Linked DNA regions of Nothobranchius furzeri. The protein of the gene in region 1 interacts with the protein of each later gene in a pairwise test. Links are inferred from orthologs where the notes say so. Each region holds a gene or a part of one and is shown in the gene's direction. Other genes may lie near its edges. The genes, in order: bnipl, gfer and mif.

Region 1 (5,556 bases):
CCTCTTAGAACTAAGTGCTGCTTTTGTCACCAATCATGACTCTCTCCTGTCTCAACTCACACACTAGGTAGGTATCAGAGGAACTGCCTTTAACAGAGGAACCGTCTCTGTTCAGATAGATCAGTGTTCCTCAGACCAAGCGCCTCTGATATGTGAAGTTCCTCAGGGTTTAATTCTTGACCCTCTCATGTTCTCATTATTGTCATGATCCACCCGGCCTCCCTGACTGTGTCTCTCCTGCCCTTATTAGCCTAATTGTTCTCACCTGTCCCTGATTACTCTGCCCATGAGTTCCTGATTCCCTTGTGTAATTATAGCTCCCTCCTTGTTGCTGTCTTTGTCGGTTCATTGTCGTTTGTGCATGTTCGTTCGTCCTGTTGCTCCCAGTCTACAATTAAACATCTTTTTATTTTTCATCCGTCTGCCTGATCTTCTGCCTCCTGGAAACCACCACCACACATGGTCTGCCACCTCCACCCGCAGAACATGACAATTATACATGTTGCCATTTGGATTTATCTTCAGAAAATAGGCAGTTCCACTGCTTCGCTGATGATGTTCAGATGTATTTTCTATTACGGTGACTTGCTCATACACTTAGTGTTTCTACATATTAACAAAAATACAACAGAAGTCATCTTGTTGATAGGGTTAGGGCAAGTACTCCCTTTAACACCATTCAGTCGTTTCTCTATGAAAAACATGGAGTCACATTCGACTCCTCCCTTATTTTGACAAGCAAATCAGTTTGGTTAGTTAGTTAGTTTCTTTCATCCCAGACAAATACCAGCTTCTTTCCCAATGATTTTGAAAAACTCATCTATTTGCAATTCCTTATATAAAGACTGAAGTCAGTCCTCCCTCCACCAGGGACATTAGGTCATACAAAATGCTGTAACTCATCTCCTTACAGGTACAAAAAAAAGCATGAACACATAATACTGGTGCTGGCTTCACTCTATTGGCTCCCTATCCAGTACAGAATTATCTTCAAGGGGTTATTGCTTGAGTTCAAGGTGCTTCTCGGTCTGTCCCCACCTTATGACCATTACCTTCTACTTCTCTGCTCTCTTTCTAGCTCAAATAGGAAGATGCACTTCACTGTTCCTGATTATTGAACAGAGGTGGCCGTGCTTTTGCAGTTGCTGCCATTAATCTCTGAAACAACCTGCCTCTTCACATTAGATCAGCTCAGGACCATGGTCATTTCTAAAAATCTCCTCCATTTATGCTCTTTGGCATTTGACTCCAGTTAGATCAATATCTTGATCCTTCTGTTCCTGTAGTGTGTGTAGAAGTCTTATAAGTTACTTCAAATCTTTTTGGAGCAACCCTGGTTTAAATGAAGTGCTATAAAAAATGATATTGAAAGTGGACAAAAGCTTATCAGACTGTAGCCCCTCCCCTTTCACTTTAGAGTGGTAGCCAACAAATTTTTAAGGGGGCCATGGCCTCCACTGGCCATCCCTTGGGGGTGCCACTGCTTGAGTCATGTTTTCCATAAATTGACTTCTGACCTCTACTCTCCCTCAGCACCGTCTACCAGTCTGGCCTTGTGTACAGGTGAGAGGGGGGCTAAAAAGCGTCTGGCGGCCCCAGCTCTTAACCTCACTCTGAGTCACACTGACTCACATGACAAGACTGACAGCTTCTCGGCAGCAGCATTGTCAGGGACACCAGATGACACACCATCACTTGACATAAACCTGGAAGCTCTGGAGACACCATCGGGCAGTGAAACAGGAACACTACCAGATAGCATGCATGAACTCGAGTGGGAAGGTGAGAAAACATGGAGGCTAAGTTGGGAAAACTCCTCCTGTTTTTAGCTGACCTATGATCTATTTCTTACAGATGACCTCCCCCAGATGGAGAAGGGTGGGGCTGTGGGTGTGGCCAGTAGCCCAGTGGAGCACTCTGAGGGTCTGATGGAGCTAGACCAGGTGGACAGCAAAGGGCGCCGTTGGAGGAAGTTCTGCATCTCAGGGTATGAATACCGGGTCAACATGAGCGTTCTGGAGCCATACCTGCAGGTGTTATCACATGGAGGTTAGAGATGCCATGCACACCATGAACACATCTGGAACATACCTAAAACTCAGGTGTGCACTGTGCACAGGTTCAAAGTCAAATGTCTTGTTTTTTTCTTAGGCTATTATGGAGACGGGATGAACGCTATCATCCTTTTCACTTCTTGTTACTTGCCAGAGAGCACAGTGGAGAACTATGACTATGTCATGGACAACCTATTTAGGTGGGTTTGGATTTGTAGTAAGAAAAGGGATGACACAAGAGCATGAAATGACAGATCTAGTGAAACGCCTGAACTCAGAAGTACCACCGTGTTTGCCTCTGTTAACAGGTACATTATTGGGACATTGGACTTAATGGTTTCAGAGAACTATGTGCTGGTTTACCTGTGTGCCATGGCTCCCAGAAACAAACTGCCAGCCATCAAATGGCTTCATCAATGCTATACCTCCATCGACAGAAGGTATGAACATTTCTCTAAGTAGTGCAGCCCTGTCGGGTGGAGTTCTGACCCAGGATCCTTTAACTTGTCTGCTTAGAAACTGTTACTATGTTATTATGGTCCTTTTCCACTAGTGCCTACTCAGTGCAGCTTGACTCAGCTCTGCAAAGTTCCAAGGCATTTCCACTAGTAACAGATCTGTGGTTTAGCAGAAGGAAGTCGCTACCACGTCCTCCATTTTTGCATTGTTTTGTGTTGTGGTCAAATAACCTCACACTACCTTTTGGACTCTATGGCAAAAAAACCTACTAGAGTTGATTTTCAGTTGTAATGGAAAACGACCCAAAACTTGTAAAGTAGAGCAGTGCTAAGTCGAGCTGTGCTGAGTAGGAGCTAGGGGAAAAGTGCCAGAGATTACATCCCATATGCATGGCAACAGTAGTGACATCAGTGTCTTGTCTGTATAGGTTGAAGAAGGACCTGAAGGGACTGCTAGTGGTTCATCCTGCTTGGTACATCAAAGCTATAATAACAGTGGTCAAACCCTTCATCAGGTCTGAAGAACTCACACACACACACACACACACACACACACACACACATAGCAACATTGCAATAATACAGCTGCACCCACCATACTTGCAGCTATTTTCACAAGAAATTCAGAGGTGATGTCTGAGGCACACATCCAGAAAGGGTGTTTTTGTAATGTCTCTTTCATCAGTGGCTGGAGGCCCAGTTATCTACTGATTAGGACAGGATAAAGTCAGCCATGTGTAGAAACCAGGGCCTCGTTTACAAAACTTTACATAGAATCCTTACTAAAATTCCACTTAAGCTCAGCAAAACAATACCTGTGCAAACTCTTTTTCAGATCTATAAAACACTGCTTATGCACAACCACACACAATTCCTGCTTTATAAACCACACTCTTCCTAGAAACGTACTCAGGTGATTTTGGATTATATCTCACCTCCAAGACACCTACTTTCTGCCATAAATGGTCAATGAAAAGCACTCTGCATATACAGTGGGATGCAAAGTTTGGGCAGCATTGTTAATTTAAATGATTTTCCTATATTAATTGTTGGTTGGTTTGATAAAAAAAACTGTTAAATATATCATATAGAAGACACACTCAGTGATATTTCAGTGGTGAAACTAAGTGTGCAGGTGCATACATTTGGGCACCAAAAAAAATTTATCTCGATACTTAGTAGATCTTCCTTTTGCAGAAAGAACAGCCTCTAAATGCTTCCTATAGCTTCCAATGAGAGTCTGGATTCTTGTTGAAGGTATTTTGGGCCATTTTTTACAAAACATCTCTAGTTCATTCAGGTGTGATGGCTTGTGACTCACACCACAGATTTTCAATAATATTCTGGTCTGGGGAGATGGCCATTCTGGAATGTTCTACTTGTTCTTCTGCATGAATGCTTTAGTAGATGTTGAGCAGCATTTAGGGTCATTGTCTTGTTGAAAGATCCAGCCCCGGTGCAGCTTCAGCTTTGTCACTGATTCCTGGACATTGGTCTCCAGAATCTGCTGATATTGAGTGGAATCCATGAGTTCCTCAACTTTAACAGGATTCCCAGTCCCTGCACTGGTTACAGTCCCACAGCATGATGGAACCACCACCATGTTTTACTGTAGGTAGCAGGTGATTTTCTTGGAATGCTGTGTAATTTTTCCTCCATGCATAACACCCCTTGTTATGTCCAAATAACTCAATGTTAGTTTCATCAGTCCACAGCACCTTATTCCAGAATGAAGCTGGCTTGTTCAGATGTGCTTTACCTGAAGCTGCTGTTTGTGCTGTGGGTGGAGAAAAGGCTTCCCCTGCATCACTCTCACGTGCAGCATCTCCTTGTGTAAAGTGCACCAAATAGTTCAATGAAGCACAGTGACTCCATCTGCAGCAAGATGATGTAGCAGGTCTTTGGTGCTGGTGCTGGTGCAGTCAACTCTTACTGTTCACGTCATTCTTCACTTCTGTTTATCTGAGATTTTTCTTATTCTGCCACTTTGAGCCTTAACCCTTACCCAACGTTTAAATTTTCTAACGTTAAAGCCATTCGAGCACAAAAAAATGCTCTAATGTGAGGTAAGGGTTAACTTGAACTGTGTCTGTGATCTTCCGTTTCCTCAATATGTTCCTAACTGTGGAAACAGAAGCTGAAATCTCTTACTTTCTGTGACTCCTATAAACTTCGTTTCACTTCTCAAATATCATTGAGTGTATTTCCAACATGATATATGCAACTGGAAGCTGTTATCGTAACAACCAACGATTTATACAGGAAAATCACGAATATTAACAAGGCTGCCCAAACTTTTGCATCCAACTATATATAAGATGGCGGATAGATGGCCTTTCAGAGGTAACCATGGCAACTGAAACTGAAATAGAGGTGCTTGTGCAGGTGATGTAGGCAGAGAAAAGCATTTTATTGCCTTTCCACTAGTGAGCTGCTGAGCCACGGAACGATCACCGCTCATATAAAAAAACAATCACAAAACAAAATGGTCTGATGGAGGCAAAGAGGAAAAAGGCAATAATCTTTGATGCATCCAAAACAGCTGCATGAAGTTTAGGGGTTGCTGCAATGATCCAGATCTAAGGGGAACGTTTAATGGAAACATTTAAATTATCCCAAATAAATTTTCATTGTATCAAACAAATATCAGCCTGCCTGTTGGCTAATTCTTGTTGAAAGGAGCCATTTTAAGGAAGCCTGACAGGTGCGCCGATCCACTGCTTACTTTAAGAATGCTGTAATCCACCCTCTTCTTAAAAAAACGAGTCTTGACCCCTCTCCATAGCAGCTTCAGACCCATCTCTAAACTTCCGTTCATCTCCAAGATCTTGGAAAATGTTGTGGCTAGGTGATGTGGATCCTGGGCATCCACATCACCTCAGATCTAACCTGGTCACTGAACACTTCCTTACTGGTAAAGAAGGCCCAACAAAGACTCTTCTTCCTTAGGAAACTGAAGGGAGTCAGTCTCTCCCCCCAACTGCTAAAGAACTTCTACAGGGCCATCATTGAGAGCATCCTATCACTCAGAGTGACAGTGTGGT
Region 2 (4,806 bases), on another chromosome or scaffold:
CTGTTTACTATCCAGTAACTAGGTGTGTGTATTGGCAAGAATCAGGCAACACGATGATAAATATCACAATACAGGGGAGAAGACACAAGATCTTGCTAAACTAAAAGCTAGATGATTAACTGTAAACCTCAGGCCAGAGGCTTCCAAGACTCATGCAGTGGGCGTCATTTGGAATCCTAAGATGTCCAAGGAAGGTACCGTCTTTCTCACCTACGATTGGCTATTTCATGTAAGAGGAAACTGCAGGTTTTTATATTTACAGACAGACCTTGAGGAATTTTTATTCTTTTTTTTAAAGAAAATGGAACTCATTGCTATAATAAACATCCTTTCCTGTTTAGCAACAAACCAGTTTCAGTTTCTTTCATAAAGAATCTGAAAAACATCAAATGTGAACTTGTAATCAATGTTGTTGTATTTTATCAATACTGACTTCTGTTGGAGTTTTCTCTCATTACTTAATTATTAGGCTATCCTACTTTATTAGGTTACGGCTGTTTACACATTAGAGCACATCTCTCATCAGATTAAATGTGTGTCATTTAATCAAAAATTAAATTAAAGCTGATTATGATTTAGACCTCTTTTTCACCAGTTTTTATTAAGAAACAGACCTGATGCACACAGCTGGGCAGAATAGAGCAGTTTTATCAAATTTCATACCCAGGTAAGGCACATATGTTTATCCTATGTACTCTAATGCTTGAGAGCCAAGAGACATAAAGGAAGTCCAACAGTTTGATAAATGCAACTAGATTATAAATTCACATTTTACGTTTTTCATTCAATGTGAAATATTTTGCAAAACAGGACAGAATGGTTATTATAGCGCTAAGCTCACATTTTCTTTACTAAACCCCCAAAACAGCTTTCTGCTGGTGGCATAATAGTAAAAATAATAATAATAATAATCTGGTTTGCTGCTAAACGAAATAGCCAATCATAGTTCGTAGAGCCTTTCTAGCCAATCAGAGGCGAAAAAGGTGGGATCTTCCTTGGACATCCTAGGATTCCAAATGACGCATCCAGTGGTATTGCGAGGATTCGTTTTTCTGTCAGAGTGAAGGCAACAACAACTGCTGCCACCTAGCAGATGGAGTTTGAATTGCACCACACAAAAGAATTAGTGAAAGTTTGCATGAAAATTGTCAATAAAAGAACTGAAACACTGCTTTCAAATATCGATTCAGTATCATAACAAAACATCGCGATTTCTCTGGGTATCGGTGTTTTCTTACATCTCTACAGTGGACTATAGTAAACACTCAAAACCCATGAGATAAAATATTGTTTAAAAACACATTTGTGGCTTACGTTTTACGTTGACATAAAAATGAAAACAAACAACCCTTTAAAATAATTACAGTGTGTTTACACCTTAATAAAAAATTAAACTTAGCTTGATTACATGTCTGTAAATAAAGGCTACCCAACCAAGACAAAACTATTATTACTTTGCAGGAATAAAGTCAGATTAGCTCTGTCCTTATTTGGACATAATAATTTAACACCAACACCTGACACACACACACCGCCACTTATTTGCCATTGTGACCCCACAAACGTAGTAAAACAAGTCCAAAACACACCAACTTTGCCTGTTCTGTAGCTACCAGTTAGCTTCGCGGCTACACTGTTACCTTTATTCTTCTGTGTCCGAGAAATCTCTCTTTCGATTTCGGCGATTTTCTCCAGAATGCCCATGTTGGTGGTGCAGGTGAGATGCAGCTACTCTGTCGGGGAGACAAAATCCAACAGAAACGTGTCACCTCACTGCTGCTAGCTTTGTTAGCCGCCCGGCTAGCCTGCAAACAAGTCAAACTTAACGGTTAACAAACCGCATCAATAGTCGTCCACGAAAAGGCTTACATAATGAAATTTACGTCAGAATAAACCCTGAACATTGTCAATTATTTTATTCGTTAAATAGATAAAGAAATTTACTTTGACAGAAGGTTCAATCAGCCGCGCACGCAGACTGCAAACCGGAACACGGTTCGTCGCTATAAAACGTTCGGGTGAAACAAGGAAACGCAAGAATAACCAAACGGACCCTCTAACGAATTACACTGTGGAGTTATGACTAAATACACGTGATTTAGTTAACAGTATAACCCAGTTATGCTTCCAGTCGTAGCTAGTTTCATTCCAGTTTACAGACATTTTTAATATTTACTAATACTCGAGGTCAATTAGATAAATATTAACTCAGCAGGAGAGAAACATGGCTGCGCCTGCTGGTGCCGCTGAATCGTCAGGCGCCAGCCCGCCGGGGTTCGAAGGTTTCCCCTTCCCGGTGAGCAGCAGACCACAGGAGGACAGCTCCGGTAAAGGGCATGAACAATCCGGGGATGCAAGGAAGAAGCCATGTAGAGCCTGTACGGATTTTAAATCGTGGGTGAAGCTACAGAAACGGCAGGATGCTGATGCTGCTCAGGTGACATGACGTTTTAAGTTAATTAAAAAGGGTTTTAATCTGTTTGAAGGGCTTTAACGTGTTTCTCTGTCCCATATGTTTATTTGTTACCAATTTAGTGTTAGTAAACTGTTATTTATAGTGTAAATCTCACCCGATCCTATTATTTTATGACCTTTGTCTCTTTTGTGTGTTGAAATCTGAACCCACAGGAAACTCGTCCTGCAGAAAATGTGAGACCAGATCCCCAGTGTCCACTGGAGAGGGATGAGTTGGGCAGATGCACCTGGTCCTTTCTGCACACCATGGCCGCGTATTACCCAGACCGTCCGTCTTCCAGCCAGCAGCAGGACATGGGGCAGTTCATCAACCTGTTCTCCAGGTTCTTCCCTTGTGAAGAATGTGCAGAAGATCTCAGAGACCGGTCCGTCCATTTTACCCAGGTTTCAGATCCAATAAGTTACTCTTCTGTACAAATGCTGGAGGCCAACTATGTCCATGTGCTTCCCGCAGATTAAAAACCAAACAGCCGGACACGAGCAGCCGCTACGCTCTGTCTCAGTGGTTCTGCCATCTTCACAACGACATCAACGTCCGGCTGGGAAAACCCGAGTTTGATTGTTCACGTGTGGATGAGAGGTGGAGAGATGGATGGAAAGATGGAACCTGTGACTAAGTGTTTGTATTAAAAGTTATGTCACTAAGAGTTTATTTAATAAGTATGATCGCAAAATAAAAAGGAATTAAATGAATAATGTTTTGTCATTTTTTGGTTAAAATAGGGTCAGAGCTGGCCCAAGGCATACCTGAGTTAAGCAAATGTTTGGGATCCCCATGAGCATCAAGATAGTGGGAAAAATGTTTTAATAGCTTTAAGTTATATAAACACAATTATATCCCATGTGGAAAATGTATTATTTTCTATAATGTAATTTGGTTTTAGCTTTAAGTGATTTCGCATTTCATACATCTGCTCCAAATTTTAATGCCAAAATACTTGAATTGTTGAAGCTCACACTACTAAAAGTAAAGCAGAATTTTTTTTCTAGAAGTGTATTTTTTTATCGTCACAAAACCAAAACAGTGATTCCATCACTACCAAACAACTAGTGATACCACCTTAACTGGCATTTAACCACTTAATCAGTGTGCCATGTTGTTTCCTCACATCCTTAACTAGTTTTATTCTTTCTATGTGTTTTATATATAATTCAAACAAATATATTATTATGTAGTCGTACAATTATTGATATAATGTATATGACTGATATTTTATAATGGTAATACTTATTGTTACAAATATTATTTTATAAGTCCTTTTCAAACTTTCGTCTTTTTCTTTTCTAATAATTTTCTGCAAAAGTGCACCGTAATGTGACGCACATAAAATGTGCTTTCTCTTGTCTCATTTAACGACGAGAAACCTTTATATATATTTTTTTCATTTAAGTTTATAAAAGGAAAGAAAATGTTGCTAAAGGAAAAGCTACATTGGTTTATTCTGAAGTGGATGTGAATTTAGAATTTGCCACCAGGGGGCAGTGATGTGTTCCAGTGGAGAGTCTTCTTTTTCAAAAAGAACACATCAGAAAATAGCCAAAATTTCACAATATTGGAAAATTGGCACAAACTCTTTGCAGGTGTTTTGGATTAATTAGCTGAGAGAGTATCCAATTGGCTAGCACCATCTTTGTTTTGGGGGTAGACAAGGCAAAGTAGTTTAATTTATGCGGCACGTTTCTTTATGCATAAGAAGATTTGAAAAAGTACTAAGTTAAACGCTGAGTAGTTACAGCACAGACAGTCGGTTGATGAAAAATTTCGTCTTCGGTTTTGATTTAAAACAGGTCTCTTTCTATCAGTTTCAAGCACAGTCAGTAGAAAATATTTTCATTTTATTTAATGTACTTGGCTTAAATAAATACTTCCCATACCGCACTCACGTTTTGCGCTAAAATGTTCGCACTGCGTGTCCTACCCTTGCTCGTGCGCTCGCCACCGGGAGCGCGCAGGACCCGTCCCTACAGCAGCGCATCCATCCTGCCGCGGGGTCCGGGAGCGTGGAGGAGCGCACACTCACTCACACACAGAGGGAGAGACACTGAAAGATGGACGGAGTGGGATCGTTCGGAGCGGGCCGATCCGGGTCCACTATCGACCCGATTACATTCGCCAAACAGCCGCAGACCATCCTGAGAGCGCTGTCCTGGGTGAGTTGCGTTTTTATCTGGCTGTGTGGGTTCGCGCGCGCTAAGGATGTGACCTGCTCTCCGTCCGTGTAAATACAAACGCTGATAAGCGGGGTGTCAACACCTAAAATGTGGGCTGGGTTTTGTGTATTTAGAAGGAAACATGCCCGGGGTGTCACCAGGCCCGCTGCTGGGCGCACA
Region 3 (5,360 bases), on another chromosome or scaffold:
CATTATTTTAAATGTGATGAAAGTTGCTAAATACAGGAAAATATGCGCAAAAATTTCTAAACATAAAAAAAAGTCTGCTAAACAATTTGCACCTGCAATTTATTGGCATCCCATACGGTGATGCCTGTTGTTGCGTACTGGCCCACTTGCAGACGTCTGAATAAATATCAGGAAAAAGTTTGTCAGATTTAAAGGTCTGAGATAAAAGTTGTTTGACAGAGTTCCACACTTTGTAAATGAGGGAATTAAAACTCATAGATCTTTGTTCCAGGCTTCACTAAAAAAAGTCATCACCTCAGTCTGAAAGATTGTGTTGCAGAGACAATGAAGAAAATCATTTCAAGTGAATTTAGTTATTAAAATCACTCCTAACTCAAAGTCACCAGCTGTGTGACTCACCCCCTGCCTGCAAAACCAACAGTTAAAACTCAGATGCCAGCTGGGATGGAGGAGGATATGAGGAAAATGAGAACAGAAGGAAAATTCATAAAAAACAAATAACTAAAATATGACTTTCTGGATGTGGTCAATATGAAAAACTGGAATTTTGAGTCGTAGTTTGATCTGCAGCCAAAGTATTTAATAATTTTTAGTGACATTCTCCATCTTTCACTTGTACTGTTTTTATTAAATAACTCAGAATGAGTCATCCCCTACCAGATTCTTACTCCACTCCCACTTCCTGTTTGAAAAATGCAACAAATGCTGTAGCCTAGCAGACCGAGAGGGCGGAGCCGCTAACAAATACACACACAGGCTCACAACTACATTGTGATAATGCTGCACTATAGAAAATGGGTTGAAATATAACATGTTGGTGGAGCTGGGTTCCGACTATCGGCTTGTGGAGCTCTAGGGAGACCGATGTTTTCCACCCGTTTTTCCCCTCCCCGCAGCTCTGCGCATCTCTGTCTAATCGCGGCTTCTGTCTGCTGCGTGGGCTGCTGGCTTCCAGCAGCTTTCGGGAGACCTCTGTGTTCCACCCGGTTTTACCCAGCGGTCAGCCCGGCGTATCTCTGACTCAGAAGCTCTGGTGTTGTGCACAATTAACTCCGGTTGTAGCTAGGTTGCTACCTCCGTTAGCTTAGCTCCCACCTCTGCGTTAGCTTTGGGTTAGCTTGTAGCTAGTTCGACCGGGTGTCGTCAGTTGATCCCAGCCTTACAGCCACACCCTCAGCTCCACCTCTCTTCCCTTTTGTAGAATTGTCTGGGCTTGAAGGAACCTGTGACACGGTCAAAATGGCGGTGGTGGCCACCTCCCATTTTTGCACAAAAACGTGTTATTGGAGCCTATGGAAATGAATTGTCCAGTATATATGTAGATGGTCAGAACATATTTGCTTTTGTAAATGTGTAAAGAAGGGATTTACCAATCTGGTGCCCACAGGCCTTTTCTCCAAACCTGCTGCCATCTTTTAAAATCGCAAATGCATTATTATAGATTTAAAACCTACATGTTTCTTTACAAATATTTAAATATGTTTATAGTAAATACATTTTAGTTTAACTCTGATCTATTCTAGTTCAAAGGTTATATATTTGTATATTATTATGTACTTTTTTAATCAATACAAAGAAAAAGGTACTTCAAAAACAAAAAAACCGACAAAAAAGTTAAAAACAAACTTTGATAAATTGCAATTAAAAAAGTTCTTAACAACAAAAGTGCAAACTTCCCTTAAAATGTTTATGTTTCTATTAAAGACCAGCTTTCTGATCCAATCAATGATTTAGATTTGGATTTGGGTTAGGGTTAGGCTTAGGATTTCTTTTTAATCCAAAATTCACAAATTTTCACTATTGTATCAAACTTGGTTAACGCTCAGTCACAACCCTGAAAGTAGCTCTCAGCTTCAGGTTGGTGACCTAATGTGGCCTAAAAATTTGTTGCCATGTGTCCTCCAGGATGAGAGGTGGCGCTGTGGTCAATTAGTTTTTCATTTTTAAGGAGGAGGAAGAGGTCATTCTCGTGGCTTCTTTACGATCTGGAAAGAGACGAAGAACGTCTGCAGCTTGAGCTGGAGAGAAGAAATAAAAAGCAATCATGCCGATGTTTGTGGTGAACACCAACGTGGCTAAAAGCAACGTGCCTGCGGCTCTGCTGTCCGAGGCTACGGAGGAGTTAGCTAAAGCGATGGGTAAACCTGCTCAGGTAGGTCAGGAAGATGTTCCTTCAGACCATTATAACCCTGCAGATCATTTACCATGATGCATTTGATTATATATGGAACGATATATATACTAAATCACATCAGTACCATACTAAATAATATCCATTATGAAAGAATGTTTGTCAAAATGCTAATATAACATTAGAGATTACCTGCAGGGACGGAAGCGGCTCATCAGTTTGGATCAGTTTGCATAGTTGAAAATAATTACATGAATTAATCTGGATTATATATCACTGGTCCAAATTTCCCAGATGCAAGATGGATAAAGTGAATTACAAAGAATAAATAAAATTACTTCAGAGTGGGATGAGCATTAAAAAAACACCTAAACTCAAAAGGATAAAGAACATAATAACATAAAATAGTTTTAAAGTAAACGAAAATAAACACTAATAGAAAAGAAAATCCCTCCTTTTTTTGAGGCAATGTTTTTGCCACATCCACAACAGGAGAAAAATAAAGACTAAGATTAAAATAAACACCAAAACAACTCAACACAGAAATACTTAAAGGTTCAAAAATCTAAATATTAATTATAAAGAAATCTTAAGAAAAAAAATAAAATTCTGAGGGAAACGATAGCAAAGTACAGTATAACATTTTTAAAGCAAGATTTTGAATGACAGACTTCAACAAAGCTAAATCTACAGAAAAGTGAATGTTACAAATAGCGCTGTTGTAAATCTTTCAATATAAAAGACTAAATTCCATCAATATGGAAAAAAATTGTACAGACAAATATTTTTGGAGACTTATTAGTAAAGGTACAATGGAAAAATATTTGTCTTTGCTTCAAGAACTGTTGACTTGTTCACTCACTTAGGTTTGACACTTAATATTGCTTTTTTCCCTTCATCTTTCTTCAGTACATTGCTGTGAATATTAACCCTGACCAAATGATGATGTTTGGTGGAAAGGGAGACCCCTGCGCTCTGTGCTCCCTCCACAGCATCGGCAAGATCAGTGGCGCCCAGAACAAGCAGTACTCAAAACTACTGTGTGGGTTGCTCAACAAACACCTGGGAGTCTCCGCTGACAGGTAACAGTAGCCCATCAGCATGCTGATCCTCTTTGTAGGACTTGATCAAACACACAACCTCTATTCATTGCTCATTAACCTCTTTCTTCTGGTGTCTGTTTTAGAATTTATATCAATTTTGTGGACATGGATGCAGCCAATGTGGCCTGGAACAACACCACTTTTGGCTAGGATGGAGGTCAAGACTGAAATAAAAGATCATTCCAGTGTTTTCCTACTTGTATTAGGGTAAATAAAGCAAAGAGCTGAGACACTTTGTTATCCAGGTAATACTGTAGGGGTACCTTAAATGCACTTGATTGGACCCCCTTGCTATGTACTGACCCTTTTGCAATTAAACGAATAAAGAAAATCACGTGAAACAATTAATGAATATCTTCTGTTTGGGTCAGTAAGCCCTCCTATTCAGAAACTTTATCATATTTAAAGGACCTGCATGCAGCTATTTCACACCTTACAGAGCAATAGTAGGCACACTATATGATAAATATTACCATTGGCATTATTGAGATGTCATTTTTGTGAAATGGAAGTTATTTTCACAACCCACTCTTTCAAACATTCAACAATGGATTTTGCATGATATAGGACCTTTAAAAGGGACTTTACGGAGTTTTGAATGTTTATGCTCGCGATTGCCCCCTCAGGCCAAAAGCGTGACGGCAGCTTCAATAGTAGGCTCATGCACGAGGTGCGCATGCTGTACGTGCACACTCCTTAACGAAAATAACAGCTGAGACAGTCCCGTGTGTGTGTGTGTGTGGCCCGGATGACAGAGGACAGGAGAACGCGTAGCCAATTAATTAAATAATTTGGTTCTGTACCTTTCTCTTCAGCACAGCCGACAAAGGTTTAAGATGGGTCAGTCCTCCTGCATGCTCAGATCATGCCCTTCCCTTGAAAAATTGTTCCAAAATGAAAGTTGAACCCACATCTGTTTTATCTGTGAATTCAATGCCGTTCGGCGAGTCTCAAATAAAAATTTGGGCATCTTACTGTAAAAAATATACCATTAATGTAAAAAATAAACTCTAAATAATCTATGTTCACATCCAGAATCAAACCCGGGTCTTCCGCACGAGAGTCCGCTGTCTTACTAGGTGCGCTATAGCACCAATGACATCTTTTGTATCTGTAATATTTATATCCTTGCTGACAGCTGAAACAACGTTCAAAGAATGGTTCAGAGCGAAAATGGCTATTTTGTTGCTAATTTGCAGGAAATATCTAGAAGAAAGTAGCTAAGGGTCCTCAGAAATGTAGCTAGGTTCATCACTAGGCGTGAGGAACAGCGACAAAGTCGCTGAGTTGGCACTGCCTCTCTCTCTGCTGCTAAAGCTACGGACAGCAAACGCTACGGGCGATGCCTGAGCGTGAACGCGCATGAAGCAGCCTGCTCGACCCGAGCATCTCTCTTTTTCTGTGATTTTACAGAAAAACAGGCAATCACAGTAAAAATGCCAGGGCTCATTCTACAGGACCAGGGCATTGCAGGAGAATGTATGAAGAAGAAATTTATTATTTCTATACATTATTTGGCTGTCAAACTTCCATAATGCCCCTTTAAAGAATTGCTTGCATAAATAATAAAGTCTTATTTTATAAAAAACAAATAAATAAATCAGAAGACTGTTATTTCTCTTCAAATAACAAATGTTTGTCAGGTAGTGGTTGGGCATTTTAGAAAACTACTTCAAAGTACTGTTTTCTCGGCATGGTAGAACTGCCCTGGAACCAAATTGTTTCATACATTTAAAGGCATGGTCCGTAAGATGACACCGTCAGGGTGAGGAGGAGGAGATTTTTAAATTCAAACGGCTGTTGCTCACTCCCCCGCCCTTCCTGAAAGAGCCGAAAGCCACACCTCCCAATGTGCACGCGCAGGAAAAGCAGAGTCAACACCAGAGCAGCATTGCTTCTTCATAATAGAGCTGAGCTAGTGTTAGCAATGGAGTTATCTAAGGTAAGAAAGTTGTTTTTAACCAGCACATTAAACACTTACTGTTTACAAAAGGCATTTTATAAAGAATATCTATAAATATATTTATATTTTAAAATACCAGTAACAGTTGACAATCTATATTGTAAATAAAATGAATCCTATCAAATTGTTAGCATTTTATTACGAGTAATTAGCTTATTTTTAA

What was found.
Region 2: the proteins of bnipl (region 1) and gfer interact in a two-hybrid assay, tested with the Homo sapiens proteins (2 studies listed by BioGRID and IntAct). The link is inferred for Nothobranchius furzeri from reciprocal best matches to the Homo sapiens genes BNIPL and GFER.
Region 3: the proteins of bnipl (region 1) and mif interact in a two-hybrid assay, tested with the Homo sapiens proteins (2 studies listed by BioGRID and IntAct). The link is inferred for Nothobranchius furzeri from reciprocal best matches to the Homo sapiens genes BNIPL and MIF.

Annotation. Positions count from the first base shown.
Region 1 is NC_091745.1:58,857,381-58,862,936, reverse strand, and holds part of bnipl (bcl-2/adenovirus E1B 19 kDa-interacting protein 2-like protein), read left to right. Parts: intron 1-1,533; coding exon 1,534-1,782; intron 1,783-1,854; coding exon 1,855-2,049; intron 2,050-2,151; coding exon 2,152-2,254; intron 2,255-2,362; coding exon 2,363-2,494; intron 2,495-2,940; coding exon 2,941-3,027; intron 3,028-5,556. UniProt on the Homo sapiens protein: May be a bridge molecule between BCL2 and ARHGAP1/CDC42 in promoting cell death.
Region 2 is NC_091752.1:63,793,299-63,798,104, reverse strand, and holds gfer (FAD-linked sulfhydryl oxidase ALR), read left to right. Parts: upstream 1-2,081; 5' UTR 2,082-2,224; coding exon 2,225-2,437; intron 2,438-2,628; coding exon 2,629-2,840; intron 2,841-2,929; coding exon 2,930-3,092; 3' UTR 3,093-3,168; downstream 3,169-4,806. Other genes in the region: drg2 (developmentally-regulated GTP-binding protein 2), read right to left, coding at 1,641-1,704; syngr3a (synaptogyrin-3a), read left to right, coding at 4,525-4,626.
Region 3 is NC_091741.1:91,260,867-91,266,226, reverse strand, and holds mif (macrophage migration inhibitory factor), read left to right. Parts: upstream 1-1,934; 5' UTR 1,935-2,044; coding exon 2,045-2,152; intron 2,153-3,040; coding exon 3,041-3,213; intron 3,214-3,317; coding exon 3,318-3,384; 3' UTR 3,385-3,582; downstream 3,583-5,360.